3 linked regions of the Oreochromis niloticus genome follow. The protein of the gene in region 1 interacts with the protein of each later gene in a pairwise test. Links are inferred from orthologs where the notes say so. Each region holds a gene or a part of one and is shown on either strand. Other genes may lie near its edges.

Evidence for each region. The genes of interacting proteins can lie anywhere in the genome.
Region 2: the proteins of efhc1 (region 1) and kctd4 interact in binary tests that used the Homo sapiens proteins (3 or more experiments, as listed by UniProt). The two-hybrid records come from large-scale screens. The link is inferred for Oreochromis niloticus from reciprocal best matches to the Homo sapiens genes EFHC1 and KCTD4.
Region 3: the proteins of efhc1 (region 1) and eif4enif1 interact in binary tests that used the Homo sapiens proteins (3 or more experiments, as listed by UniProt). The two-hybrid records come from large-scale screens. The link is inferred for Oreochromis niloticus from reciprocal best matches to the Homo sapiens genes EFHC1 and EIF4ENIF1.

What each region holds. Positions count from the first base shown.
Region 1 is NC_031980.2:12,763,361-12,773,760, reverse strand, and holds the start of efhc1 (EF-hand domain-containing protein 1), read right to left. Parts: upstream 4,927-10,400; 5' UTR 4,759-4,926; coding exon 4,693-4,758; intron 2,942-4,692; coding exon 2,720-2,941; intron 2,637-2,719; coding exon 2,349-2,636; intron 2,244-2,348; coding exon 2,094-2,243; intron 1,860-2,093; coding exon 1,673-1,859; intron 1,381-1,672; coding exon 1,154-1,380; intron 652-1,153; coding exon 511-651; intron 348-510; coding exon 134-347; intron 1-133. Other genes in the region: eva1aa (protein eva-1 homolog C), read right to left, coding at 7,168-7,547, 8,765-8,947. UniProt on the Homo sapiens protein: Microtubule inner protein (MIP) part of the dynein-decorated doublet microtubules (DMTs) in cilia axoneme, which is required for motile cilia beating.
Region 2 is NC_031987.2:11,321,028-11,331,234, forward strand, and holds kctd4 (BTB/POZ domain-containing protein KCTD4), read right to left. Parts: upstream 4,085-10,207; 5' UTR 3,738-4,084; coding exon 2,961-3,737; 3' UTR 2,060-2,960; downstream 1-2,059.
Region 3 is NC_031970.2:16,088,678-16,099,329, reverse strand, and holds the start of eif4enif1 (eukaryotic translation initiation factor 4E transporter), read right to left. Parts: upstream 4,560-10,652; 5' UTR 4,200-4,559; intron 3,948-4,199; exon of another isoform or gene 3,810-3,947; intron 3,664-3,809; exon of another isoform or gene 3,642-3,663; intron 3,564-3,641; 5' UTR 3,513-3,563; coding exon 3,420-3,512; intron 3,339-3,419; coding exon 3,265-3,338; intron 1,985-3,264; coding exon 1,857-1,984; intron 1,604-1,856; coding exon 1,341-1,603; intron 1,072-1,340; coding exon 873-1,071; intron 729-872; coding exon 565-728; intron 1-564. Other genes in the region: protein SFI1 homolog, read left to right, coding at 5,281-5,444, 5,527-5,598, 5,698-5,808, 5,889-5,983, 6,081-6,198, 6,285-6,387, 7,890-8,046, 8,153-8,314 and 8 more. UniProt on the Homo sapiens protein: EIF4E-binding protein that regulates translation and stability of mRNAs in processing bodies (P-bodies). Plays a key role in P-bodies to coordinate the storage of translationally inactive mRNAs in the cytoplasm and prevent their degradation.

The DNA of each region.
Region 1 (10,400 bases):
CTGAGAAATGTTACTGTACAAAAATGCATATATAATCATTTTCAATTTGAAGTCAGAAACCCGCTTAAAAAAAGTTGGGATAGTGGCATGTTTGTTTTCCCAGTCCTGGTTAACATAGGATTTCAGCTGTTACCTTCCACAGTGGCCCCGATAGCGAAGTCTGCAGGTGAGTAGTACGCAGGTTTGTCTACAGTAGAGTCCGGCTTGGGCACACGGGACTTTTCCAGAAACTTTCCACCAATGATACCAGAGTTGCGTGTGGTCTTTTCAAAAATGCTGATCATGTCATTGGACAGGAAGTAGGACAGGATGAAACGGCGGTCTTCATCTTCAGGATTCTGGGAGTCCTGGAATGCAACATAGGCGGGCTTAACCAACGTGTAAAAATAAAAATAGCGTTTTTGCATAATCACCCCTTTTTAAATAAATTTTTACTGAGGAGTAAAAATATCTCTAATCTGCAGTGTTTCTGTTTAAACTGCTACAAATGCTCTGCTAAATGTTGCTCACCAGTCTGGCACTGTAGCGCAACACTTTATGGTTGTTCTCTAGCATCTTTACCACGTTCACTTTGGGAGGCTCGGGAATCAGACGCAAACAATTCTGAAGAGAATCCTCAAGTGAGCCAAAACCATTGTAGGGAGGAATTGTCTGTAAGAATGGACAGCATGGAGAAAGAGAGAAGGAAATGGACACAAAGTAATAATGTACAAAAACATATACACTTCTGCTGCTGTAGTCCGTCTGCTTAATTGAGCTACTATTGCCTTCCTATCACTTTGAACTGGTCTGGCTTAAAGCAGTATAAATCATGCCTCCTCAGTGATACAGATTACCTTCTGAATCTGTCTGTGTGTATGCAGTCATGGCAAAATTAGGTCCTTGAGACACTTACTATAGCAGGAACCTCTTCAAAGGTAGTTTTTAGAGCTTTATCAAGTGTTTATATGACTATCTGTAGACAGATTCTGTCAGTATGATGCGTCATCACTGTGTAAGATGCAGGTGTATCACTGACATCATGAAAGTCAAATTCACAGATGGATGTAGTTTATAATCGTGGTGTAATCCCATTCCAGGATGGGCTTCAGTTTAGATAAAATTTTTGCTAACATAAAAAACAAAAATAGGTTAAATATACAGTTCAATTTACCTTCTTCCTGTCTTGAGGGATATCAGCCTTCTTTGGTATCTCTATGGACTTCATCTCCATTTCCGGGTGGTTCTTCTGGTAATATTCTTTAGTGAAGCCATCACAGTCATAAAGCAGGAAGTTGCGCCCCAGTAGTTTCATCCTTTGACCCACCTGGAAGTCTTTTGGGGAGTAATACTCATCCACCTCTTCCTTTGAGACCTCCATCACTGCACTGGGGAAGTTCTCTACAAATAAACAAGAGTACACCAATGTAAAAATTAAATATACAAAATATTACCACAGTCCCACAGTATTTTTGATGTATCTAGAAAACCGAGTACTTTGTAGAAGCCAGTGTAATTAATCTTTTTACATAACATGTCATCATTTTTGTCATCATTTCATAAAGCCGTTTATGTCATACATAAAGTAGGAAAGAAAAAAAAACTTAACTGATGACATAACTCACTTTACTGCACTGTATCAAATCAAGTCAGTTAAATGCACATTTAACAAACGCACAGTACTGTATGAAACCTGATTTGATCTTTTTGGGTAGTCTCTGCCTCCGCATCAGGATGGGGAAGGGATCCCGGCCACTGTTTGGTTGGTGGACTTCTGCGATCTCCACTGTATCATCCACCAGGTAATAGTGAATGGTAACAGGCCTGGACTCCCCATATAGAGAGTCAGCATCATCCCACAGAGCGAAGAAGCGTAACACCTGACCAAAAAAGTGTAGAAGAATGAAACTACAAATACAGGCATGCCTCTATTATATCTGCCATTTATTTCATGGCAGGGATACCCAATCCAGGAATTTAATTTCTAACACTTATTAGAACTCTAACACAAATCAAGATTGGTGGATTCAAACCTTGGACGTTGCTGTGATGTGACAGTGCTAAACGTGATAAATGTAACACAGTCAGCTTGGAAAGGACAGAATTTCATTTACCTTGCGGTCCATCTTGAGAAACTTGTGCAAATTATCAAATGTGGAAGGTGTAGTGTGACACGGTGGAGGGTTTTCACGACGCATGATGTAAGGATCCGCTGGCATTAGCTCAGGGTCATTTACAATCATGCCTTCACTTTCCATGAATTCCTGTACAAAGAATGAGAGATCAGAACACGCAGGAAGTGTATTTATAACAGCAGACTTCTAATGCATAGTTTCATTTCCACAGCATTCAAACACATAAGGTTGTACCTTAGTAAAGGTATCACACTGGGTAATGCGGTATTTGACCCCATACACGTCCAGGTCCATACCAAGGTTGAGATCTTTCCAATGGTAATGCTCTCCACGTTCATTCTTGGGCAACTGGTGGCGTTTGATCCGCTTTCCCTGTGGTATCCCAGAGTTCTCTACTGTGGGCTCGATAATGCAAATGCTGTCATCCTCTAGGTAATAGTAAATTACCACAGGGCGTACACGGTACTCTTCTTCAGGGGAATACAAAATAGCCTCCATAAAATATCCATAGTAGCGCAGCGCCTGCAAGACAGGTGGTAGTGATGAATAACAGATGAAGAACCTTTATGTTTTTATGAGTTTTACAACTATAGGTGTTACCAAACCTTCTTGTCAAGGGCCACATGAGCAGGGAGGAAGTCTTCATGTACTCTTTTACCAAAGGGGCCATAAGTAAGGTCAGGTGTCTCGAAGGCTAACTCACTAATCTCTTGTTGAGTGAGCTGCTCTGATAAAAGAGGGTCGTTGCCAATGCCCACAGTGGGACGTCGGGGCAGAGCATAACCATTCCTATAGCTCAGAGTTTGGGGTCGATGGAAGGCTGACTTCTGCAAACACAGAGGAAGAAATAAATTAGCTCAGGTAAATACAGACAGAAATGTAATTATATGAAGCACTTATCACTAATTGATGTGGTTTACACTTAAATACCAATATGGGAGTGTTCTGTCCAATGTTACAGTAGTCTGTGCAAGTCTTGAGCCACCCCTTGTGTATATTTTGTTCCAAGTAGCCAATAATTCTCCAGGCTTTCTTAAGGTCTTTTAACGTTGTTCTATTGGCTGCTTTTTCAAGGATTTTAATTCAAGTCCTTGTTCCTGACCATTTTTAGAGGAATTCTTTAATTGTTAACTCACTTGACATTGACCTATGAATGACTGAAGCATTAAAAAAGACACCTAACTCAAGCAATGAGCCAGTGTTGTCTACACATAGCAGAAAACTACAACATAACAATCTAAAAATATATCTCTAGTTATCTTACTAGTATACTGTCACAAAAACACATCATCTGTTCCCATTAACACAGAACACAGAAAACACAGTTTATTAGGCACCCGTGAGCAAAACACAGTGGAGGTCTGTTGTGGTTTGGGGCTGAATTTCAGACAGCGGTGTCAAAATTAATTGAATTATGAACCGAGTTTGATCAATCATGTCAATCCATAAAATTGCCGAAACCTTTTTTTTTGTTTTTTGTTTTTTGCCAAAACACACTTCCAATGCGGTGAAGGCATAACTGGATAGAAAAATACACAAGGGAGCACAATCAGTGATAGACTGGCCTCCCCAGAGTCCAGACCTCAATGTTCTGATAATTCTTTAAATAGCATTTTTCTACTCCCTACAATCCAACATCATTCACCCAAGTGCTTTTTATAAACCAGTCACTCACATTGGAGAGCATCTTGGGGTTAGTATCTTACCCAAGGAAATTTGGCCATACTTGTAGCCAGGGATCAAACCACTAACTGTCCAATTAGTAGATGACTTGCTCTAACTCCTGAGCTACCACCCCTGTTAATGTAACAAAAGGCAGCTAGAATCCAAAGAAGATTTTTAAATGTCCCCCAAGAGGCCTGGGGAACTATTCACGAACACTACTTAAAGAAATGACAAGCATTGTTGCCTAAGAGTTCTGTTTGTGTTGAAGAATAAAGGTGCTCAGACCAAATATTGACTTTCAGGGTGATTAGAATTGTACAAACTCAGTTTTTGCCTTCAGTACTGTATTCCCATGTATGTTTGCACATGTTCCAATACATTCTTGCACCCATTTCTCATTTCCGAGGGGTGGCTCAAGACTACTGAACAGTACTGTAGATCAAGTATTGAGCGCTATGCCTGTAGGAAGACAAAATAACAATAACATCCCTAAAGTATAGCAAGAATGGATAGCAACAATCCTGGGATAAATTCTCTCTGTGTTAACTGTCAACAGTGAATTTGTTAATTTTATGAAAAAATAATAATAATTATGTGTTATTATGATTCAGAGCATTGCTGTTCATTTTTATTAGGGCTTGGTAAAATAAAATAACCTTATAAAAGAACCAATAATTATCAAAGACTCTTTAGAGAACATCCGGGATGTTTTAAAGGTCACTCGAGAGCTGGCTAGTACTTTAGCAACTTAAACAACCTAACTAGTGGAGGAATGTAAGAAGACATCTGCATTATTAAAAAATAATCGACAAATATTTAAAAAAAAAAAAAAGAAAAGAAGTAAAACTCTGTCAATCGTTAATGTTTCAAACTACTAAGCAAACCCTATAGTTTTGTTTAATCATATTCTTACCGTCACATCTCGAAATGTATATCCCGGTAAAAATGGTAGTCCGTGGCTGTTCCAGGTACAAGACATTTCCAGTCTTGATATATATATATATATATTTTTTATCTCCTCCTTTGCACAAGATGTTAGCAGTGGTAATTGTGTAATTTGTGGATTTAACAGCAGGTTTCGTTGGTGTGTAAAATTGCACGAGAGCTCTCACCGTGGTAAGTTTATGGTATCCATGGTAACGACAGGGGCGTCTCAATGGAAACAAAGCAAATATTTCCTAAAACAAAATTAAATTCGCGGTAAAAACCCAAGGAAATACTGAAATTCACAGCGGCAAACACAGAAACAAAGAAATAAAAACGGCAAAAATAAAATACAATATAATAACATGATATTAAGTTGTTATAATTTCTATTTTTTTTTAATTTGATGCAGTATTTTTTTATGTTATACCCACTAAAACAAATGCATTTATCTATATAGTTGTGCTGACTTTGTATAGCTAGCCAAAGTGATTTGCAGTCACTAACTTCACTCCTTATGTGCTGCATTAAAACACACTGTAGAGATCTGTCTTCATCACAAGGTGGCGCTCAATAACAAATCTTACAGATCCAGTGAGCCACTGGCTCACGAGTTCTTCTTCATGCTGTCTTATGGCCTCCTTGTGTAAATCAGTATTATTTATGAACTCCCTGTATTCTCAGTCCTTGAATTAGGCTAAAGCGTCTTCTTTTTCCTGAGACTCACAATATAGTCTTAAAGTCAAAAATATAGGTCAATGTACACAGTTGCAGCTTGTTTTTTCAGAAGAAAGTGCAGAAGGAAAAAAAAAGACGTTATTTTTTAACACAGTTTATTCCAAGCACAGGAGTCATATTTTGGTCTCTCACGTCACCAGTTATTGGCACATTTTAATCCCATTCAAAATTAAACACAACAAATATCTTTGTTATTAAAAAAAAAACAAAAAACTAGGAGAAGTGCAGGGTGTATGTATGGTGGAGGGAGTGTTGTGAAGATGACCTTAATATGTCCTGTTTACTCTTTAATTATGCTCAGAAAAATACCAAACTGATTTATGAAAACTAACTCTACGCTTGAAGTCAGGGAAGCACGAGCAGAACTGGACTGTCAACTGGTTATAAGATTAAAGTGGCGACATGATTCGCCACTTTCTGCAGCGCTGGTTTCCACAGGCATCTGTTTAGCATCTTTGAAATGAATACATGGATGGCGCAAGACCTGAAATTCACACATCTGTCATGAGACAAGACCATAAAAATATTTTGTAGCAAAGTCACTGATAGAAATTGGCATTTACTGGTAATGCACATTTACATCTGGGGAGAAGTGCAATGTTTAACAGACGCATTCAGCTTTTACGCATGGTCCACCTCAGCAAAGGGAATATGCATACAACGAGATGAATTTATGATTTCCAATCAATAAATAATTTGACCAGTTACAGAGAGACTCATCAGCTTCATTTCTGACAAAGAGATGTAACAGCTGGAAAAGGCACTGCACTGTGAGTTAAACATACTGTATCAAAAATAAGGTTTAAAATCACTAAAACCTCTTTGAGGCTCTTTATATGATATTTCTAGTTCTCCTCTTTAAATGCTGGCACAGCGGTTTAAATGGGCCGATCCCCTTCTTAATAACCAAAAAAAAAAAAAAAAACATCAACCAAACACAGAAACACTAGGATTGCATCCCTGAGGTGCTAGACCAGACAACCTTCGCCAAGTATAAAAATATCTCATAATAAACCATACTTGACAACAAAAATACGCAATATTAATAAACTATTAAATATTTTAAAATATATTTCAGAAGGGCTGAGATGAATTCCCACAAAAATATCTTTTGGTTTTATAAAGCTCAAAAGGCAGCATGGTTATTCACTGTGGAAAGATTATCTTACATTGTCAAGTGCACTTGCTTTATGCTACCCCTCTGCTAAAGTTCACACTTGAATACTGGAGGGTACAGAACATAAAGCTGTAAGTGTCACAGTCTCTTCCAGCTGCCTGGGGTTCTGTATAAACAGACCTGTCTGAGGCCTTGGTCCTTCAGTCACCATGTAGTCTCTGCAGGCCTATGTATGTCTAAGGCAGCTAACCCATAAATCCCCACTTCAAAAAGGCCTGCGGAGGTCATGGGCAAGGCAGTGCAGCCTTTCACCTCTTGCTTCCTCCAGCCAAGAGGTAAGCTTACCATACAGAAAGGGAGCTTATTGTTTTACTCAAAAGGGGAATAGCTTATGATACCCAGAGGAATATGCAAATCAGCAGAGAAGGAGGACTTTCTTTAAAAGTCTGCAGTACCTTCGACTTTTCTCATCAGTATGAGTCCAGCTGCTTTTGCATTCATGCTTATAAAGCTTCATCGAGGCCTTGTCCCTTTCCACTCCAACCCAAGTGTGTTCTAAATTTTTGTTCGAGTTAAGTAAGCCGCCTATCAATCGTTCCTCTGCAGTCCTCAGTAATATCGATTGAGGCTCCGTGTCCCTGGGATGTCCGGCTGTCCGTTCATCCAGATCTCCCGGATGATTCGCTCCCTTTCCTCAAGCCTCTGTGCTCTTTCCAGCTCCTCCGCCGACGTGAACACGTTCATGTTGAGCGTACGCTCAAAGCGCCGGTGTCTCCGCGCCGACAGATCTGAGGTGGTGTCCCAGTCTGAGTCCGAGTCGCTGGAATCGGAGGATGAGTCGGGAGGACGCGGTCGTTTCTTGGCGGGAGGCCGCTGGCGGGGCTGGCAGTCGGTGCGACAGGAGATCTGTACTACCAGGGCAAAGAGGGTGAGGAAGAGGCCCAAACACACACCGCAGACAAAGAATAGTGCAGCCCTCTCTGGGTGGTCTGTTGTAGAAGAGAAATTGGAACTTGTTAGTTGACTTTATGAGGAAAATGTGTCGAACACTAAGCTGAGTCTTTCTCACTGGGTTTCTTATTTTTTCCTGACCTGTTTAGCCAGATGCGTTTCACTCAGTGTAATGAACATTGTCTGCACAGCAAGTGTTCACGTGGCTTGGTTTAGTTAAGATGTCTTACAGATTCTGCTACTCCTGGTTTTCATCTTCAACAGATGTCACAGCTCTGATGGGATCTGTGTTTCACCACTGAAAAAACCAAAGTGACTCTAGCTCCATTTGCACGAGACGAGAACAGCTCTCCCTTTTCAATGAATGAATGCCATTTTCAGCTTTGAATCCTTCATGTCTTCCTTGCATTTTGCATGCAGGTACTTTGCATTTGCATTCTGCATCCAGCTTAGCTGCAGATACTTCTGTTTATATTATTGTTCATTAATATAATCAATTTCATTTCTCTTGTACCATTAAGACGTTGAGAATTCTTCTTGAAATCATAACGTGCAACCTTTTTTGCATTCTGAGGAAACCTTAAAAGAAAGCTAAAAGCTAAGTGATCTAAGTAACCACCTAAGCTCATGTTCACTGCATGCCTTGTGTATTTATTTGACCTTCTGTGCTGCACATTTCACTATGTATAAACTGTTTATAGCAGGAAACAGGCAAACTATTTCAGTGACTGTTTTAGCAGCTGCTTAGAGCAGGTGACCCACACTGTGTAATGTATAGAGACATTATCTCTGCTTACATCCTCTGGCCCACATTTACCCACCTTTTAGTGACAAGAAATGGGAAACGGGGATTTTACACACATCAATCCATGCAGTGCAGTCCCGTGGTCACTAATCTCATGGGCCAAGAAGCAACCAGGAGCTGATAATGCTCTTGAACACAGAGGTCCAGCCTTTTTGTTTGCTAACTGTATCTCTTTCCCAAAGAGATCAAGTTTCTTTCGTCCGCCCCTTATTTCCCGAGGGGCTGCCACAGCGGTTGGATCTGCATATTTCGATTCGGCACAGATTTTACGCCGGATGCCCTTCCTGGTGCACCCCTCCCATTTATCCAAGCTGCAAGGTGAATGCATTAACCTTTACACTGTGGGGCCACTCCGTAAGCAGATGCAGTTAAGATCTCTAAAAGTCTAACTGCCAGACATTACGCTATACATGTGATGTTACAGTAGATTTCAGAACAATGTTACCCGACCTAATACGTAAGTGTAGGCTGCCAGTGCGTTACTAATGAGGGCCATGTTGCCACTCGATGTTGAGTTGATGACGGGATTCATGTCCGGGGGACGCAATGGACTTTCTTCTCTTTCTTCTCCTCCTTTTCCGTTTTCAAAAGACTTTTCCTCGTCGGCGTTCGTCTCCCTGGGTTTCTTCCTTTCTGGAAAAAATGTAAATTAACAGGACATGAGTACACAATGAGTAATTTACAGCAGCTACATGTACAGTTACATTATGATGGTGCTGCTTTTACAGTAAATCCAGAATCTGCTGTTGCTGATTCATTGTAATGACATCAGTCTCAGTCGCCTACAGTCTCACAGTGGTTTGGGGAAGATTTTATCACATAAATTTTCTAAAAAGATGCGTCACGCATAAGACACACACACACACACACACACACACACACACGTACACATTCACAGGGAGCTTTGTGATTCAGAAGATAACACAACATCCTTTTCGGTTAAATCCATTCTGACTCAGGTCATTAACAGAGAACCACATGGAAAAGTTTGCACTCTGGAGACATTTCAAAAGTTTCCCAAAATCTTAGAACAAAAAAGTCTATTTATAGATGGGAACGACTACTTCCTGCTCTAGATTTTTCTTTTTTCACTTCTTTCAGTGTTTACCAGCTGGGTTTTGTTGTGCGCTCACTGCAAAGAGAGTGTGAGAAAGAGAGAGAAAACAGGAGCACCATGAATTAATTACAGGGATTCATACTCATGTTACAGCTGCCTTTAGTTTACCTGACGTAGTTGTTTATGGGGTATGGTGGAACTACTGCAAGTTTAGCTCCACTGAAAAAAGCAACCAAACCTCAAACAGTCAAAATAAACAGAAGCATTTAGTTTAGTGACCTGAGCTCTCTGTGTGTGTGTGGTTGCATAGTCATTTTTACATGCTTTATTTCTTTTGTCAATGAAGGTAAGCATACTCTGGTGATTTGTCACACGCAGGAATGACCTCTAATTGCAGAGTCTCTAAGGTGTGTCGGGCTCTCTTTATCTGATAAATGCAGTTTATACTGGAAGTGCTCGCTGATGAGGTAAATGCTTCCACCTGGACCTACGGCTATGTTGCACACATGAGCTAACGTTCAACCGCAATCTGTCTCAACTCACAGAAAACAGACAACTTTTGTCACATTATCAATGAAAATATAAAATACATTGTTGTTATACTGTTGTCTCTATGAAACAATACATTTGTCTTCAGAGGATTAGCATTCCTGTGGCTAACTAAAGACACCCTTCTTACTTCTTTAGGCAATAAGAGGATACATACCAGCCAGATATTGCTAATCAAATGCACTTCATTAACTGACAGTGAGCAAGTGTTAGCACCTCTATAAAAACAAAAGTGTTGTCAGTTCGTTGGTCCAGTGTGTTCAGGTGTGTGTTAACGCAAGGCTAAAAGCTTACCAGGACTGGACATCCCAGAGAATTCAACCAAAGATCATGGCGTGCAATGCACAGGGAAACTAACTGAAGAGTCAAAGAAAGAGCTCGACTTCAATGAAATAAATGGAAAAAGAAAAGTCAAGTAATCTGTGTGAACTGCACAGCAGCAATGCCACATCAAGAAGCAGCTGGAACCAAAGATGGAGA
Region 2 (10,207 bases), on another chromosome or scaffold:
GACACAAATCAGGGTACAGTGATAAAAGGGATAAAAAGAGATTCTCCTTGGGGGAGGAGGGCAGAATTCATCCCAGAGTCTGACCCAGTTTTAAAATGCCAAATATCTCCACTAGAGCTGGACGGGTTTGAAGGGGCTCCCTCGAGGCTGCGGCAGGGGAAGCTGCTGCACTGTGGAGGCAGCACGACTTGGGCTGTCAGTTACTGTAGCAGGCGGTGTGAGGGTGAGAGCAGGGCATGTTTTGATTAGACTGTGTGACAGACGCTGTTGCATAATAATGGGAGACTTTGCTTTAAACATAATGAGCGTTGTAACCAAGTTGGAGCTACTTACACTGAACTCATAGTTTATATTAGAGAAAGAAAATATGATAGGAATGATTAAAATACTTTATTTGAGAATATGAGCCACATTAGTTAAAACAGAACATCAATTTAAAACAGCGTCTTTTAGTTTATTGGCCACATTTGTTGAGCCTATAGGTTGATTTTTGCTAGTAAAAGTACTCATTTTTCACCTGCAAGTCTAAAGAAGTGCTCTTTTAAATTTTTCACCTGAGCCATAGGAAAGGTTTTTTTTGCTTTTTCAACTCTGTATCCCAGTTTCTCCACATTCATGCAGTCGTAGATTAGTGGAAAGGCACAGAACTATCATGCCTAGCTTTTCCAGCTATTTTAATATTTTGCAACTTTATGATTCAATCAACTGTCGTACGGCTGGCAGATTACTTTACCGAAACATTACACTAGTTAAAAACTTCACTGCAATTTTTTACACTTTGCAGACTCAGACACACTGGTGGGTTTATGAAGTAAAAACAAAGTGAACTTCACTGTATCACTGTAGATGTGCAGTCAGAGATTTGTATCGGAGCTCCACGTCAATCTTTCTCTTTATTTAACTTGTATAAATGTTTCTGTTTACGCAGCAGCACATCTGCGTACTCTGCAGCAATATGAGAAGTACTGACTTTTACTTCTATTACTACTATTACTTCTATTTGCTGGCTATAAATATATTAATGTTATTGCTGTTGTTTTCTATTTATTTTTTTAATGTATCTGTATAAGAGAGAGAGGTTTGTCCATTTAGATATTTTTTATGATATTTTTTGCAGCCACAAATACAGAGCATTCTAATTCTGTAAGAAACATTAAGAAATGTATCTGAAGAAATCACTTTTAAAAATCTAGCTCTGCCCTTCTGATAGTTTTTATGGCGTATTGCGAGAAGGCAAATGAAACTATGGAGTTTTGTTTCGGATTGAATCAAAGTCCTTCTAGAAGCAAGTCTTGGACTTTTCTGACAATTTACTTTATTATCGTTTTGTTAATTAATTATAATTTCAGTGATGTGAAACTGCATTAAAAAACTGCTTTAACAGTTTACACACTTTGCCCTAAAATACATTTTTGAAACCCTTTTCACCCCCTGGAAGCTCCTTTAGGAATTTCCTGTACATTATATTTCTGAGATCTGCTGTGCCTCTATCTTACATTTTTGCTTCTATGTCTTGGTTGTTTTTTTTTGCAGTTAATGATGTTTAGCTACTTCGCAGCACTGCGTGAAGTGAACATTACATCGTGGAACAGCGTCACAGGAAATATTCTGAATAAGCCTTTTAATTTCTACAGGTTTCCACTGGCCGGCATATAAAACCGTGGAAAATGACTCCCTTCTCCTTTTAATTTTCCAGATGTGGAAAACAGTGTTTCACATGTTTGGAGAACTGCAGAAGTGCATCATTTATAGCATGGAAAAGTACTGGCTGTAAGCAAGAGCCAAGTCTGTGTATAGCTCCCATTTGGATACGTAACATTAATAATGCTCCTGTCTGACTCAGTGGGTAACAGTCTCACTCTGTACAGACTGTAAGTTCAGCAGGGTCAGGACTAAATGGTTATAAGTGTAGCTTTTAAGCTGCTGTATGAAAGAAAAATAATCTAATACTAAGACTTGCTGCCTGATTGTATAAAATAAGTTTCCTCATTAACGGAAGCAGTTTTTGTGAGGTTTGTCACACAAAAGCAGCGACATTAAACGTCAAAACACTCTGACCCAAGAGTTTTAGTCTCACTTTTATTTGTAAAATACTCACATTGAAAAGTAATAGGCATTTTATTTTTTTGTGGCACTGGCTTCACAGAGGCTCACAGCACTAACAAACACACAGTTTATTTAGTGCACATGCATCATGCTAGATTCAAAGCCCTTACAATAATCACAGTTCTTTGCACTTAAAACTCAAACATTTGGTTGTGAAGTTTGCTTTGTCCATCCGAATCGATCCGAATGAGCTGTGGCTGTCCCTTCAGGCTCCGGAGAGGCTAATAAACTGAGCACAAGCTATTAAACCAACTAAACACAGCACACAGGGGTGGGTTTAGCAGTGCACGCACACGCACGCCAGCACACATACACACACGCGCACACACACACACACACAGAGGCTGTAGTAAAAGCTGAATGGCACAGCAGTGCACATCACGCAGCAGAAGCAGTTCTTGTGCAGAAACGAATCCACTGATAAAGCTGTTTTTAAAACCTCAGTTCGACACGTTCGTCTTCTGTGTGAAAGGACTCGCTGTCGGCTTTCGCGTCACTTAAACTTTTGCATGATACCTAACCAGATGCAGTTAAAGATGCTATAAATGTCAAGATGATGTGGGTCATTTTGAGTTCTATAAATACAAAGCAGTGCAAACGGTGATGCTAAAATACCATTCTGCTCAGAACAATCACCCAAAAACTTATCCCGTGTGTGTGTAAGCCACTATTGTGCAGTAAACATTTAAAACCTGCCCTGTACGACAGACCTACCCACCAGTTCTTCTATCAATGACACATTACAGCTCGGCACATCTTACAACATTTTCAAACCAATACCTCACAGGGTGGATATAGAAACAGGCTCTTCTCCCTCTATCTTCCCCCTCCCCGCCCCCTTCATCATCTTCATCCTACTTGACAAAATGCAGGGCCTCGGCCACCACCACGGAGCCTTTGCTGCTGTCAAGGCAGGTGACAAGCTTGAAGCCCGATCTCAGTGCTAGCATCACTGTCTCTAGTTTCAGACAGTCAAGTGTGCACAGGAATGTGCTGTCCTCCTTCAGAACGAGCCGCGAGCCAGGCTCCGACTTGATGAAGTGTCGGAACTGTATCACGTTGGATGACACCACAAATTCTTCCGGAAAGCCATCCAAGCGGCTCTTGGAGATCTGCACCAGCCGCCCTTTGACCTTGTCGATGAAGGCGGGGTCACTGCAGTACACCTTGAGGCCCTGCGACCTCTCGTGGCTATCCGTCACCTCCAGGAAGGCGGGTTCCCGCTGTGCCGCCCTCTGAGTTTCCCACTCGACCACAGCCTCCACCAGTTCAGTCAGGCGGTAAAAATCGGCCTCTCGTCGCAGGAGCCCCGCCTCCCGGAAGTCATCGGGCAGCTGGAGCTCTCCTGTTCGGAGGTAGTTGAGCACATGGCGAAAAACCGGACCGTCTCTGTCGATGAAGGGGTTGCCCATGGAATCGGTGTGCTGGACCGCCTTCTTACCGTTGGCCACCTCCTCGAGAAACGAGCCCTGTTGCTTGGCAAGGGTGGTCCGGTGGGCCGTGTACAGGAACCCCCCTACGTTGAGGGTGATGGTACCCGAGGAGGGCTTCTTGAAGCTCTTGCTGGGCTGCAGCAGGTCCGGGTTGATGTGCCTCAGTTCACTTTCCATCCTGCTGAGGTCCCATTCCATTCTCCAGACGCCCTCTCCAGCCTCGACCCAGCCTCGGAGCTGGTGTGTCTGCTCGACTGTACGCGTGTGTGTGTCTCTGGGTGTGCTCGGTACCAATCGAGTCAGTTTTTTTTTTTCTTTTTCTTCCCCCCTTTCCTTTGGATCTGACTTTGCGGGTCGGTGCTGCAGCTGAGGAAATGAGAAGGTGTTGTCAGCTGTCGGTATAGTGAGAGCAAATGTGTCTGAGAGTGTGTGATGGTGGATGGGTGAGTGCTGTCTGGCAGAGGAGCGACAGTGAACTGGGAGCTGAAAACAGACTCGCTCTCTGTTCTGCTCCGTGTCCCTCCTCTCTCTCTCTCTTCCTCTCTGTCTCTTCTACTCTTTCTGTCTCTCTCTCTCTCTTTAAGAGTGGGTGGGCAGGCAGCGTCACATACAGGGAGGAGAGAGAGGGAGTATGTGAGCAAACACCAGAGGAGTACAGACTCCAGAAGCTCGCTCTTTTTCTTTCTTTCACTCTGTTTTTAATTATCTTGGATAAAAAAGGTGCAAAGCTCAGCTCTAGCTGTTAGTTCACACACACATACACACACATGCACGCATGCCATGCTTTCACCAGATGGAGGGGGGGGAGGGTTGCTTCCATAATTTTTGTGGTGTGAAATTGTCTCAGCGTGTGTGAGTCTGAATATGAAACTCCTTTTTGCAGCCAGATCCATCTGTTTTACCACACAGCGCTTCATGTGAACTGGAATCCGTCTGAAATCTCCGGTCATGACGGGGAGAAGGAGGCGGCTGGCCTCGCTTCATGTAAATTTCTGTGACTCTCTCCTGCTTTCCTTCTTGCGAGGTAACAGGCAGGCCTTCTGTCTTAGCAAATTGTTTATTGATCGTGCCTGTGTGTGCGGTGTGTGCGCGCTCGCTTTGAGGACCTTGTGAAGGAAATGGACCAATTACAGTCCACGGTGGTCCGGTCATGAAGGACAGCTTTTGAATTGGTTAATGCTTTTGGCCTGTAGCCTCCTGTCAGGGGAAAAATGGTCCACTGGTCGCTCAGTACTAACGACTCACGCCGCCACTGTTTATGTGTGTCCGTGTGTGCTTATTTTTGTTCTGCGTTTCACATTTTTTGTGTCTCCTCCAGCGCGACTACAAATGTGAAAGAAATCACAGTTCATATCAAACACGAGGAAACACGCAGAGCGGCTCCAGCAGTGCTGACTGGTAACAGCGTGTGATAAAAACATAAAAGTCTGCGCATACCACGCAGATGATTTGGTCTGGTGCTTCATGCTTACACTCTAACACACTAAACACTATGCTAAATAACTGTAGTTGAGCTGAAAATGGAAGAAAAATTACCATTCTAGGAAGCTACTAAATAAATAACAGTAAATGATACGTATCAACTTTGTGGTAGATGTACATTTTATAGCAGAGGCTGCTCTAAAGTGTGAGCGTGCAAAATCAATGTGTACTTCAGCTTCCATGTGGTGATTTAATGATTTTGTTAAACATATAATCCATAAAAGAAACATCTTTGCATCAGAATCTTATTATGCAGTCGCCTTTTAAGAACAGGTTTTCCTCGTGTCCTCTTTATTATTTGTTGGCGTTTCTATATTAGAAGTGGAAAATGTCAGCAGTCAGATTGCTCCCATGTTGAACTCCCTGCATTTCTTATTTATCACGCAAGCACTTACACAAACACTCAGGCCCGATAGCCTGCACACTAAATCCATGTTTACTCTTGATTCTGACCCGCGCAGCTCTTCTACTGCTGCAGAAATATTTCAGTGCAGACGGTTTGTAACCTACTTTAGATGTGTTTTTACACCAGGGAGGCAATGCCAGTCAATTTGCATAATTTATCATCACTTGCACAGAAGTCTGGCAGTGACAAAATACCTGGATTGTGGCGGTATTTGTCACCGGAGGGCAACGAAGACGGGGCGCCTTCTTTTGCAGTGGTGTTTATATGTTTGATTACTCACTAGCAAAATATTGTTAAGGCATTTAAATTTATTTACCTTGTGAGAAAATTCAGTTATACAAGTAGTGGAAGATTAGGTTATCTCGATGTAACATTTAGCGGTAGCAAGCTTGTCGAAAACGAGTAAAGCAGGCTAAAAAACGGCCTTTACAGTGGGATAACTAAAGCTAGAGACTCGGGATTATCTGTTGAAGCCCTGCTGCAGTTGCTTACCGGTATCGCTGCATGAGTCAGAGGTGTGAAGATATCTCATTTATCGAAGCTTTTCATGGTAAATTTCTGAAGAAACTACTTCAGGTGAATAAAAATGTGCTCTATATCCAGACATGGTGTTTGGTGTGGATTATTGGACACCAGCAGGATCAAGTTATCCTCTTATGTTTAGTTCCTTAAAGAATCAGTACAATTAGGATGCTTTTAAATCACAGTGGGTGGTGACATTAAAACAAGTATCTGATTACATAGCATTTTCTTATTTATGGTGAGGTACCAATGTGATGAATGACAGCCTCTGCATAAATTATAGAACATTTAGGCAAGGTCTTCAATTGGGAGATTACCCATGCAGCTTAGATTATTCAGATCAGGTCAGAATCCAGCAGTTACGGGCAGATTTCTTGATGCTGAGTATGTTGTGAATATTGCAGAGTTTTGTGAATGAATTGTATCTGCATTTGTGCGCTTTTGGATCTGTTGGTTATCTATTTATTTCTTTTGTTTCCTTTCTGATGCGTAAAATGAAGTCCTGCCTTATGCATGGCTTCTCTTTTACCCCACAATGGATCTAATGAGAATGACGGAAAAAAATTTAAAAGGCAGAAAAGAAAAAATGCATTATAATTAATTTAAGAGCTTCAACAAAATGATTATTGGTTACATGCCAGTGTCAAAAACCTAAAGCTATTCAGTTTAAAGAAAACCAGTAAATATTCACACTTGAGTTTCTGTAACTACTGAAAATTTTGGCCATATTGCTTAAAAATATGTCAGTGAATAGCTGTTAAATCTAAATATATTAGAATGCAATACATTAAACTGAATAATCCCTATGAGGATGAAAAATAGCTGCATTGCTGCACCTTTTAAGAATCAATAATGAAGCAGAAAGGTTATAAATCAGAGTATATTACATTAAAAAGTCTTTTTCATATGTGTTTGCTTTTTTTGTAGATCCTCCATTTAATTATCCCTGCTCTTTTGCCCTTAGTAACGGACAAAAATGAATAAAATAGGCTACACTGATTGCTTTTCCACCTAAAAAGCAACAAGTATGTTACACTGATGCAACAGGTTATCACCCACTTACTCCTCAGAGCTGCTGCTGCTGCTGCTGTAGATGTAAATGAATCATGTAGGCAAGTGCACTGATTGAAGATTCACTTGAACTGAAACACTTTATTCAAACATGCGAGCGCTCTCTGATTGATGTGGGTGACTAAAATGCTTCTTTTCCTTGCCTACGTGGGGTAGTTGATCCCCAAAACGACGGCTCCTGTGCGTCGCCTCTGCGATTTTTCCATTCATAAGTGATTAGTTGTATCATTGTTAACGACACTCAATTGGAATTGCAAACGAGGACAAGATGCAGCAGAGAGGATTGTGGGAGGTTTGACCTGCTTTCTGCTCTCTTTATTAAAACAGCCTCGTCGGGGACCGTCGTCGTCTTCAAACGGCGGTGGGAATCTGTTAGTCGCGGCTGTTGTCAAAGTGACAGCTTTTTGAATGTTTGAAATAAATTCCCCAAAATGCTGCTAGCAAGGACTCTCCTTCGCTCTTAAAGGTGGTGAATTATTCATAGAGCCGCTCTAAGAGCTTGTGGTGTAACATGGAGTCACTGACTGCTGTGAAGCTGGCATGGCAACCGCTTAAAATGGGGTCTTGTGCGAGCTCGGAGCTGTCAATCTCTCGCTTTATTCATTATGGAAGTCTGTCTGCTGTAAAGGGTCTGCATGTGTTAGTCCCAGTGGATCGAGCTGCTCAGATGGGAGCAGCGTATTTTTAAAATGATGACTGTGTGAATTTTGATTTGATCACACATACTTTTTCTTTTTTTGAATATCAGCACCCTATTACCAATATAATTTTTTTCAGTAATACAAACAAGCAAACAGAATATGACCCATGGAGGAAAAGGGGAAGTATATCATAAACAATGTTTAAATGCACACAGAGCTCCCATCTCTATAAAATAAATAAATAAATAAATAAAAAATCAACAAAAGGCTGCCTGATTCATGATGAAAAACTATCCTGACTTTAATCACCACTGATATAAAGTTTCTGTTAGTTAAGGATGATTAATATTACACCTCTTAAATATCGGTTTATTAGTATTTGTATGTAGTATATGCCTCACAGAGCTGCTGGCATGGATGTAAAGCATTTTTGTGTAACAAGTCAGAACTTCCTTAATAGAAAGAAACTGCTCAGGTATACATTCACCAGCCACTTTATTGGGTACATTTTGCTGGTACCGGGTTGGATCGCTTTTTGCCTTTAGATTTCAGTTAAATTTTATTTATATAGTGCCAAATCACTACAGTAGTCACCTCAAGGCACTTTATACTATTATAGCAAATATCCTACAATAATACAGAGAAAGCTCAAACAATCAAATGGCCTATGAACAAGCAATTGGTGACAGTGGGAAGGAAAAACTTCCTTTTGACAGGAAGAATTCTTCATGGCACAGATTACAGCAATGTGCTCAAAACATTCCTCAGAGATTTTTGCCGTGTTGATGTGACAGCATCACACAGTGGCTGCAGAGTTGTCGGCTGCACATCCACTATCAAACCTCCCCTTCTGTGACATCCCATAGGTGCTCTTTTGGATTGAGATCTGCTGACTCTGGAGGCTTAGTACAGTGGGCATGGTCAGCAACAGTACTCAGGTAGGCTTTGATATTTAAATGCTCAGCTGGTGCTAAGGAGCCCAACATGTGCTAAGAAAATATCCCCCACACCACCACCAGCCTGACGCCGTATTTAGACTTCTGCAGCGAATCTTTGCAGAGCCTACGACTTAACGTACATAAGCAGCCAACGTCATTGCTGGTATTTATGCCGGTGCTGGTGCATTATGTGTTAACTACCATGTGGTAATGTCCCAGTGTTTTATATGCCCTCCCACAACACTGATAAGGATAAGCAGAAGGGGATAGATGGATGGATAATTAGTCCTTATATTGAGATGATGATTATTCTCTGCACTTTTTAAAAAGAAACAAGTGGACAAATGTATAGGAGGAATTGACGGTACTGCCCTTATGGTCCTTACAAGCATGAATCCCCCATCAGTTGATACGAGGCAGCATGCATTCATGCTTTCATGTTGTTTATGCCAAATTCTGACCCTTCTCAGCCTCAGCTTCCTGTTCTCAGCCTCAGCTTCTTCTCAGCTTGAAGCCACTCAGTAGACATTTTCTCTTTTTTGGACTGTTCTGTGTAAACCCTTGAGATGGTTCTTTGGGAAAATCCCAGCAGATCAGCAGTTTGTGAACATTCATACCAGGCCATTTGGCACCAATGAGCATGCCATATTCAAAGTCACTTAAATCACTTTTCGTCTCCTTTCTGATGCTCAGTTTGAATTTCAGCAGGTCACCATGTCTACACGCCTAAATACACTGACTTCCTGCCGTGTGATTGGCTGATTGGATATTTGGTTTAAAACCTAATTGAATAGTCAGACACCATAACGACATGCTCAGTGAGTACCTGCCAAGAAAAAGAACATAGACCTGGTCGGGAAGAGGCTCAGATTTATCCAAGCTGCTAAAAAGTTTACTTCCACAATCCTTTGTTCCACATCACAATTAAAGCAGTATAAATTTTATGCGTTATGATTTATACATTATTAACAATGTTCAGAGGTCAGGATTCATTCAGAGGCTTTATTACCAGCAGGTCCACTGTATAGATCGGATGTGCAGAACAACATTATTTTCTGTTGCATCCTGACTGATTCCTTTAATTAAGTTACTGCTGCTGTGCCACATGCGTAAATGAGCACATCACTCTCAATTTAAAGGAGGTCTTATTGTTTCTGCTGCTGGGTGATCCTTCAGGAAAATTTTACACGTGGCCAGCTGTGGGCAACCGACAGGAAGTCACTGAGTTTAATGCTCCTACAAAATCCCAGCTGAGTTTCAGTGATCCCTGCATAACACCATTGCAAGATTAAAGGAAGTAACTGTCTGCAATTTTCTTTATGAATCAAGCAGCAACCTCAAATTGAGCCAGGATAAGAACACATTTACAGGATAGTAAAAAAGCAATCTCTCATTTGGAAACTGACGAGGCTGTTTTGATTGACACGTGTCCCTGCCACCGGCCTCACCTCAAGTAACAGCAGCCACTGAACGGGACCTTTGTACTGTGTTTGCGCTGTTGGTGCCTTTTTGGAGCATTTTAATGCAATTTTATGACATGGCTTCCTGTGCAGCACAGCAAGCCGAAGAAGTCAGTGCTCCAGTTTTGGTGATTGAAATATTAGTACT
Region 3 (10,652 bases), on another chromosome or scaffold:
CTGTTTGACCTTGTTCTCATTTACCAGAAAGCATAGAATCTAAAAATGCTAAAAGTAGTTTGCAGTTGGGCTTTTCTAGTTCAAACTAGAAACTGCATCCAAGCTACAATGATGGGCATAAATTTGGATTGTTGATGCCTTTTAAACATCTCATTAACCCCATGCAAAAGCCCAGAGAACAGAATATTGATAGTGCACCATTCAGTGACATGACTCACCAACCAAAGACCAAATTCAGTGAGGTCAAGCTAGTGCAGCAGAGGTAATCTTGCACTGATACAAAGTATCAATACTTTGTTTTATATGACTAAATGCACAATTTGTGAAATTCCGATTTTTTTTAAAAAGCCACAACTATCAGGCTTGTAAGAGTCTTAATTGTATAATTTGTTTTTAAGTTGACAGTTGTGTCTGGTTCAGGGGTGAGCAAACATGAAAACCTCTACTGTTAAGCTTTTCTGGAAAAATAAATCACACTGATATTTTAGAAGTTACTAATGACACCCCATCTGTGAGCTTCAAACCACTAAGCCAAACAAAACCAGAGTGCACCCCAGTACTTACAGAGGCCAGTCCTGGCATGGTCTTCTCTAGATTGTAGAATTCATTGAAGTCGAAGTCACCAGCTGAAGGCTCTGGCAGAACATCAGTGTGGGGAACTTCCTGATCAGCTGTCGACTGCAAACCCACATCTTGCTCCTCAGGCTGTCCGCCATTACATTCCACTACTGCATACAAGATGTGCGACAATAAAATTAAATACAAGTCACAATTTTAACATGAAGTCTTACTGAACTGACTTTCCAAATACTACTAGAAATACAATAGTCCCTAAAAATGTTGGCAGTATTTCTAACAATGTCTTGACATGCCTTCTTTCAAAGATTCTGTCCGCTTCCTTGAACGCTTAGATTTGCGTTTATCATCTTCCAGGATTTTGTCATCAAATCCAATAAGCTCAATTGTCTCCGACTGGCTGGTGGGACCCTCCGTGAACCACTCTGGCTCGTCTTCTGCATACGAGTCATTCCTCCTCCTTTCGCTAAACACACGCTTGTCACCAAAATCTCTCTGCAAATGATTACATGGGACAAACAATATCAATTTAGAAATATGGGATGGAACAATTAAAGAGTAACTGCACAGAAACACTTTTATAAATTTAGCTCAAGTCTTACAAAATTGTGTTTTTAGACAGTTTAAAAAAAAAAAAAAAAGATTTTCCTTGAACTAAAAATGTATCGTGTAAAATAAAGTTGCAAAAAATGTAAGTGCATTCAATATTACATTAAAACTAAAAGCAAGGACATTTGCACTGACTGAAAGTGACAAACACCAACCCTGAATCTTTTATCCTTCAAGTCTCTCTCACGCTCCTTCTCTGCACGAGCTTCTCTCTCAAAGGCACGGGCAGCAATTATGCGTCCACTGCCAATTCTGCGTGACCCTCCCATACGTAGAGTGTCATTTTCTTTGTTTTCCAAGGGGCTGATTGGGCGACGGATATGAAGGGCAGCATTGCCCTGACATCCACCTCCAAAGCTACGTCGCTGTGGGCTCAGTACTACATCCAGGTCATCCTCCTTTAACCGCTCACGGGGATCTAAAAAACAGGGAGGGAAACACACACCCCAAATAATAATAATAATAATAATAATAATAACAACAACAACAACTGTTTTATGGAGTACATAGACTACATGAACAATTCCACTGCAGCAGTTTAGAAATCTTGTGCAAGACTGGAACCTAAAATCCTAAACATTCATTGATCAGAGCACAGTTAAGTTTCTAGACAACATTGTTATGAAACGCAAAGATGAAAGGATAACCATCTACCATCAGTAATTATTTACCTGGGATTCTTCGTTTTAATGGAACTCTGTCATCCATGTAGTCCTTCTTAAAACCTTCCACAGGTGAGCTTCGCTCTGAAGTGGGATATAGTGAGGCATGCCATTTCTCAGGGTCCCAGACACCATCACTGTTTAAAACAAACAAACAAAAAAGCCACCCATAAATTTCAAATAAAGAGACAACTACAGCCTCAACTGGGATCCTGTTTAGGAAAAAATAAATAAAGAGCAACAATGAAAGATACAATTCCTGCATCTTGAAAGTTTAACATTTATATTTGAGTATTACAAGACTACTGTGATGAGTAAAGTAAAGATAGGCATGGGCAAAAATACAATACACAGGTCAGGCCATCCATTTCAACCTTTATGCTGTGAGCACAGAATACAACCCAAAAAGAGGGTGCAATAAAATCAGATCCTCAAAATAATAAACTAATTGATACTGTTGCACTAGCAGTGTTTAACTCTGATGACAGACTACTATAAACAATTTTTCCAACAGTTGAGACAAATCACATTTTAAGTACATGTCTTCAAAATCTGAAGTCATTCATTAACTCTCTCCCATAAAGACATTACACTTAATGACGAGTTCTGACACCTCAGTATCCATCAATAAAGATGTGATTGGATGACAACTAAAATTGTTTGCAGGTTTTAGCAAGGGTAGCTGCCTAGGCAGAGACCACTCTCACACCTTACCTCACTAACGGATGCAAACATAAGCAGATCTAAAAAATAATGACAAACTGCTCAGTTCAGAAAAGATCTTCGAGGGCAACTCCTAGTAGGCTTTGAAGGGGTAAAGAGGTCTTTTTTAGGATTAAAAATACCCCCCCACCCCCCCACCCAAAACCGCTTGACCCACCCTTTAATGAGCCCACTTCTCATATAGTCATAGCTACTGTTCCTGGCTCCAACAGCTATTGGACAAAGATACAAGTCTTCTAGTGCAAGCGTTTGTTTTGCTTCTCAAGCAGACATCTGAACAAATCTTTGACTGTTGTTTAAGAATTACCCCAAGGAATTTAAATAAGCTCCGAGCAAGAGACAAGCTGGAAGTGCATGTGAATTCCAAAAAGCAGGAGCAAGTCTTCTGGACAGTTAAACTATGTCAATGATTATTACAAACTTTATGCAAATTTTAGTTTCAAGACAGTGAACATATTTGTATAGAAACTCTTCTGCTTAACCTTGTTTAATCAAAGTAACTTTTGATCACATACACTTCAGTTCCAGCAACAAATACAATTGAAGAACTGTTGATCTGTGCCAAAAATCAGTATTTCACAGCATAGAGAAATACTAGTACTTTTCCTTACTAGAATTCACCCATGCTTTCTCATTTGAAAAGCATAACCTCCTGTCCAGTATTACCCAATGTGACTTTTACACAAATTCATACCTGTCATATTTCTCAGAGAGACATTCAGGCCTTTCATTGGAGATTGGCAGCGCTTTGATTTCCAAAAGCTCCTCCTGCAAATAAATTGATAGTCTAGTTTAATTCACAGCAACATCTAAATTTGATAAACAATGACACAGCTGGCATTTTGTCACCTTAGTGTATCTGTAAGGAGCTGTGGCTGCCGGCTTAGGCTGGTCGACAGCAGCGTCACCATTCTTAGGCTCTACACAGGCATCTTTCTCCATGATGGATTTCAGACAGAGCAGACAGTGTCTCAGCCACCAATGACTCTACACCTGTGGATGACAAGTTAACATTTACAAGTCAATTATACTCGACTACGGCCACTAAATACAGTCTTAAAGGCCAATTACTTCAAATGAAAGGACGCATGTTCCGAAGATTAAAACAAAAAAAACCCTGCTTCCTTCTGTTGCTGCAAAATATATCAGATGTATTGCCATCTTAAACTAGGCAGCACGAGAAAACAAGATTACAGAAAAGTTGCCGTGAAGAAAAACTTGAACTCTCATGAAGCTTACCTGCACCGGGCAGTTAAAAAACAACTCTAGAGTCTCAGGTTGTTGCTGGCTAATTAGCAATTTAATTGACAGCAGCTGAGAACTGACAGGTCATTATATTACAAAGCGCTTACATCAATTTACTAATTGGGTATCGCATTTGAGTTGTAAACGAAGCCGTTCTGCAATGAAAGGATCCAGCGAGTTAAAGACATGTAAACATTTTAATACAAAACATTCCTCATCATTTCAGCTTTAGGAAATAAACGCTACTAGTTAGCCAAGAGATTGACACAGGGTTAGCCAAACGATGGTAGCGTCCCACACAGTTAACCATAAGGCGAATTCGTGGCACAAAAGTTGTGTAGACAACCGACTTGCAAGTCAAATTTTGGCAAAAGACAAACTTACTCAGTTTGAATGCTGTGCGGAATGCCGGTCGCTAACGGCCGAGCTGATCACGTTAGTTAGCTGGCTAGCCTAGCCTAGCACTTTGAGCTAGCTAACTAGCTGGGGGACTGGGGATAAATGCCCACCCAGCGAGCACCAAATCGTGAGCCGGTAGAGTTGTCGCTGTGATTTCAGGGAGCACACACTATAGAGGGGTAACCTAACACAATAAGACTGGTTCAAAACAACAAATTAAATCACACGGAACCGGTGAAATCTCAAATAATAGTCTTCTCTTTCTCTGTTTTCTAAGTCGTAGCAGCAATTTTCCTCTGATCACCGCTTTAAGAAGGTCCTGGCAAAGATTACGCCGTGCCCAGCGCGCCTTTGTAAAAATTTAAATTGGCAGGTGTGCGTTGGCGATAATTATTTTAAAATCTAAACCAATATATGAAAATTAATTTCAAAATAAATTGGTTTATACGTATGTATATAAAATATTGAAAATGTAAATTGCTTTGTAGTGATTTTTTTTATACTACGGTAAAAGGCACGTGACAGGCATTATTAGAGACAGCCATATTTTGTCTCAGGATTCGCTTGATTTGTGATTCTCCACCGCCGGTCTCCTGATGGTCCTTATGAAAATAAAGACCCCGTCCTCGCGGGCAGTCCACGACTGACATTTCGTGTCATCGTCGTTAAACTGAGGGGACCTTAAGTACGTTCTTCCTGTGTGAAGTAAACATTTCAGAGTTTAAACTGTTGTAGAGGGAGGTGTATGAAAAACACCACCCCATATTGAAAAGTTTATTAAGCAGACCGTGACTCTTATAACTACCACAACCAGTTTAGTGTGGTCTCCACAGACCGGCAGCAGAGGTTGTTGTTGTTGACAACTGTGTATCGAAGACACCAAGTGGTCACGTGATAAGGAAAAACAAACGCGCGGCACTTTGTAAAGAGTTTTAACGTGAGGATAAATTAAGGTAATTTTATCATGTAAGCTACAACAGCCTTCAAAGTGTAAAATGCGGATGCTTTGATGCTTGTATTTGAGAAGTGATGCGATTCGGTGCTCTGTATAATAGCGGCTTGAAAAATGCAAAGTATCGGCGGAAACTCGGATCCAGTAAGACCCCGTTTAAACTATGTCAGATCTCGTGGTGAAGCAAAACAAGTGCGCAAAGTTCACATCAGAAAGGTCGCTTACAGAGTTGGATACACCTGGAACAAAGGTGGAAGACTCAAGGAGCTGAGAATAAGGTGCTGAGACTATTCCTTGACCCACTGTTATCATGTTACTGTCTTCTTGAAAATTAAGTCTCCATTCTTTTAACTTCTGCAGGCACCTTGCAAGAAAGTTTCTGAAGATATGGATACAGAACACCTTTGGCCGAGTTCTTCCTCATGAAGCAAAGTAACGTGTTTCATTTGTTTGGAAATTGAAAGCATTTTCAAGTTTACCATTTGGTTGCCCTCGTTTTCCTACCTGCTCACTAATTCCAGTGTTTTCCAGGTCGCACTATAACAGAGTGGTACTGAGAAGAACCTTTGAAGGATGGAGAGATGAGTGGTGGTCATCCAGGAGGGAGTGGAGTCTGAACATGCGAGCAGACTGTCACTACAGGTCATTACAGTACATTATAGAAGACTTTTATAGTTGATTCACTGAAGTCTGTTCATGTGTTCATGCTGCTTTTATTTCAGGTATTACCTGTGCAACTGGACTCTCCGCAGCTGGCGAATGTTTGTGTGTTTGCAGAGGGAAAAGAAGATGCAACAGCAAAAGGCTCAGTCATTTGGTGTGACTTTTACCATTCAAGCCTAATGTTGGGGGGGGGGTTTGTCAGATTTTATAATTCACTGATGTGTCATCACCCACTTTGTTTCTATCATCAGCTGACAACCAGCGGATGCGTCTGCTGTTGGACAGATGGGAGGTTTTCACAGAGATGAGAAGACTGAAGAGCAGAAGGCTGGAATCAGCTCTTGAGCAGTACAGGCTCTCAGCTATGCAGTGAGATTTTTGTGTTATCAAATGAAAACTTGTAGCATTATGATTTTTACCATAATATTGATTTTACCATTGTTTTTGTTTTGCAGCTCAGTGTGGAGCTTGTGGCAGACTAGATTACAGCACCGTCGAGACCTTCACGTTTTGGAGGTTCAAGCACAGAAACAGAGGGCGCTAACCTTAAAGAAAAGGGTAAGGGCATGATCGAACACCCCTGTGAATCACATGTTAATATTATTATTATTAATAGTAATAATAAAAATAACAAGAATAACTTTTTTTCAATACTGCACCTTTCAAAACCAAGTGACAAACTACAAAATGTTTAAGAAGAATTAAAAGTGAAACAACATAAAGTGTAGGAACGCTGACAGTAGAAGAAGTTCAAAGGCAGTAGATAAAGACGAATTTTATCTTATCTTTATAAAGATAAAGACAACTAAAATTATAAACATGTAAATTAAAAGCATTTATGAAAAATTAGACTAAATAAAAAAATTATCACCAAGAAAAAATTATGAAGGACAACATTCACTTCAAAGCAGAGGCACAGTAAAAACCTGATCATCAAAGTATGTCTTTAAGAGAGATTTAAAAGATGATAGTAAGCTCTGCAATCTGATCTACTCAGTTAGGCTGTTCCAATCTGTCAAACTAATTAGATAAAGATGACCCAAGGAAATACAAAAAATAATAATAACAATAATAAAGTGATAATTTCATCTGTTATTATTGAATTTTAAATTAACTGTGATTAACCACATTCTTTAGAAAGCTGAGTTCAATTTTGATAGCCACACCTCGGCCTGATTCAAGGCAGACCTGTTGAATCAAGAAATAATGGAAATGGAACCTGTCAGACGAAGTCAAGTAGATTTACGTCATACCGCCATCTGTCTTTGGAAGGTTTGAGTCCCGTTACATCTGGCATAAAACTCACACAGTATTTCATAAAAGAAACATTACACGGTGTCAAACATGGTGGTGACTCTGTGATGGACCATGAATTCTGCTCTCTACCAGAAAATCCTGAACGAGAATGTCCAGCCATCAGTTCGTGCTCTGAAATTCAGACGCACTTGGGCTATGCAGCAGAACAATGATCCAAAACGCACCAGTGCGACTGAATTAAAATAATTCTGCAAAGAAGAGTTGGCCAAGATTCCTCCACAGGGATGTGAAAGACTCATTGTCAGTTATTGCAAACACCTGATTTTAGTTCTTGTTGTCAGGGGTGGCACAAGCAGTCATTAGATTTAGGGGGCAGTTGCTTTTTCACACAGGGCCATGTAGGTTTGGATTATTTCTGTCCTTGATAAATGAAATCATTACTTAAAAGTGCATTTCATATGAACCTCAATTATTTTTATCTAATATTAACATTTGATCTGAAACATTTAAGTGAGATAAATGTGCAAAAATAAAAAGAAATCAGGAATGGGAAAATAGCTCAGTTATACTACAATCCTGTGAAAACTAACTCTTACTGAGCCTAAGCAGCATAAAATAAGACTGGACAACTGAATTGAAATGCTTATCTAAGCTGAGGTGGTTGTCAACTTACACTATGCCCATGGATGACATGCTCCCGGGGTCAAATGTATAAAGAAAACCAAAGAGTAGTGAACCTTGAGGTACATTACTCCTGTGTGTTCTCTCTGGTGATGGGTCACCTGATATATTTTGTATTGAAGGCTTGGCTTCAGTGGAAAGAGATGCATACGGCTGCTTCTTGCCAGAAAGAGAAAGAATCCAGAGCTGCGTTTCATTTTATCTCCAGATTGAAAAGAAGAGCTTTGCATCAGTGGATGAGATATGTGTCCTATCGCCACACCAAGACAGAAACACAAGGTCATTATAGAATACCCACGCAGCTTTGTTTCCATTCTTGAAGCATCATTATTTTGCTATCTCTTAACACATTTTTATTTTTTGTTCTTTTGTGTTTCGCCTTCAGCTTTGGCTCAGCGTGCCTGCTCTCGCCTCCTGGTGAGGAGGTGTTGGAGTAAATGGAGAAATGCTCTCGATCGCAAACACAGTGAAGAGACCCGTTTGCAAGCAGCAGCCCGTTTGGCCACGCGGAGCATTCAATGCACAGCACTGGTGCATTGGAGAGCTTGTATCCTGATCCACATGTAGAATAGATAAAACTTGGATAAACTAGTTTTTCTACCTGCTACTAAATCAGTTTTAATTTATCGGCATTGTTGTTTGATTCTTGAGCTCTTCAGTAGATGTGGCATTGTGCAGAGAAGAAACTGAAAGAAAGCATGCAGCAAATCAACACTACCAACATCATTTAATGGTAAAAAAATAAATAAAATAAAGAACCCACACATAAGCAAAGATCAGCATGTTCAATTCATGTATTCATCACAGCGCATTCTCATTGCAGCGTGCTGGATTGCGAGGGTTGTCTCTTAATGTCGTGTTGAACAAAACATATCGACTGAACAACCATATGGCTATCCAACATTGTCAGCAAACGGTAACTGATGAACACACTACGATCTTCACGCTGCAGACAGTCAGCGTTACTCTCATTGAAGATTTCAAAGCATCTGAAATGCTTTTTTTTTTTTTTTGTAGATGACTCATAAGTACTGGAAACTATGGCAGGATCGTGTGGAGGAAGCTGAAAACCGGAGTTTTAAACCCTTCATAGATATGGCCCTGAGTAACTACAGGTGCTCTTACATACATTTCCCAATCCATAGGGCTATAGTCACGGCTCTTTGTTGTAACACCCATGCTACAAATGGAATTTTGTTTCTCGTTGCAGCACTTCACTGCTTAGAAGACATTTTCACCACTGGAGAGAGAAACTTGCTGAGCAGAGACACATGCAGGTATTTTCAAATACAACTCAAGACAGCAGAGATGCAGATGCTTTTGCATCACAACACAATCAACTTGTTAAGTTTTGTTTTTTTTGTTTATTTTTTTTTTACAGGAACTGGAGCGTCGTGCAGACATTTGGTTTGTAGACCATATGCTACCTCGGTGCTTCCAGTCTTGGGTTGAGTTTACCCTCCACAGCAGAATGCGTCAACAGAGAAGACTCAAAGCTGAAGCTTATAATCGGTGAGTCATCATCTTTCTCCTCTTCAGTTATGCAACTCTTCAAATGAAAATAAAATAACAATATACCTTTTTAAATTTGGCTGCTTTCCCCTTGAAAGTTCTTTTTTTTTTTTTTTTTTTTTTTTTTTTTGGCTTCTCTGGACCACTTTCAGTGTGGGTGCTGTTTTTAGACCCTCTATTTTTAGATCACTGGTCCCATTCTGAGTGGTGGGATGCGCGCATACAGATTCACCACAGTCTTTAAACAGAAAGCAGACATCATCTTCTGTGTCAAATTGACCCCAATTTCATATTGAGGATCATTTTTGCTCATGGGAGCTGGTCTCTGGCTGTAACTCAAAGACAAAAAGGTAGTTTTCTATGGAACTGTCTGTGGTGTCCAAGCCCTGAGGCACCACGATCAGGAGTCATTTCCCAGACAGTCAGAGTGTCAGATTTACTTTATTTAGGCATCTGAGGGAGAACATTCAGTTTGCATTATCTAGACTTTGGTTTGTACTGGTTTGTGTGTAGACTTTGTAGTTTTCAACCTTAGCAGGTGGATGAATATGGCCAAATGATCTGTCTGTCCACTGTGTTGTCAGGCGGCGCCAGTGCACCTGGGTGTTTTACACCTGGTGGGGGAAGTCGGAGAAGCTCAAGGAAGAGATGCTTTCTGAGCGGATGGTACGTCAACTGCAGATGAAAACTTTGTTGTGGTGCACCGCATTGGTGATAAATAACACTTACGTTTTTCCAGGCAGTTCTTCATGATGAGAGATGCCAGAAGCAGAGAGCCTGGACGCGATGGAGGCAGCGCACACAAGAGCGGATCAAAGAGGTGGAGAAATGGGAGGCTTCACGTAGTCTGTATCGTCGCACACTTCTACACAGGACGATGATGCAGTGGAAGGAAAACAGCACTGAGCTACGAGACAGGTGAAGCTCAAGAAGAAGTTTTGGTGAAGCTGTTGAATCATTTGGGCTTGAGCTAAATGTGCTGTCGGCTAATAGAATCGTTTATTTGTTTTACTTCAGGAGAAACAGAGAGCAGCAGGCCTGCCATCAGGGTGATTTGCGCTGCTTAAGATTGGCCGTAGAAAAATGGAAAAAGGTGATTATTTAAAATTTTTTTTTAGTCTAGTCTGAACCCCATCTGTTACTTCAGTCAGTGCCGTAAGGAATCAGCGCCTTTGGCTTAAGATTGGAAAAAGACTGAAAGAATTAGATTTTTGATGTGGAAATGTGTATCTTATAAATTCTGCTCCGCATCTCTGACAGCATGAGACTGCCTAAATGAGACCAAAGCTTTGGAGTGACATTATGAAAGCTGATAGATTTTTCTTCCCTGCTTTGATTTTGATTATAATCATGTGTAATGTGTCCGTTTTCTT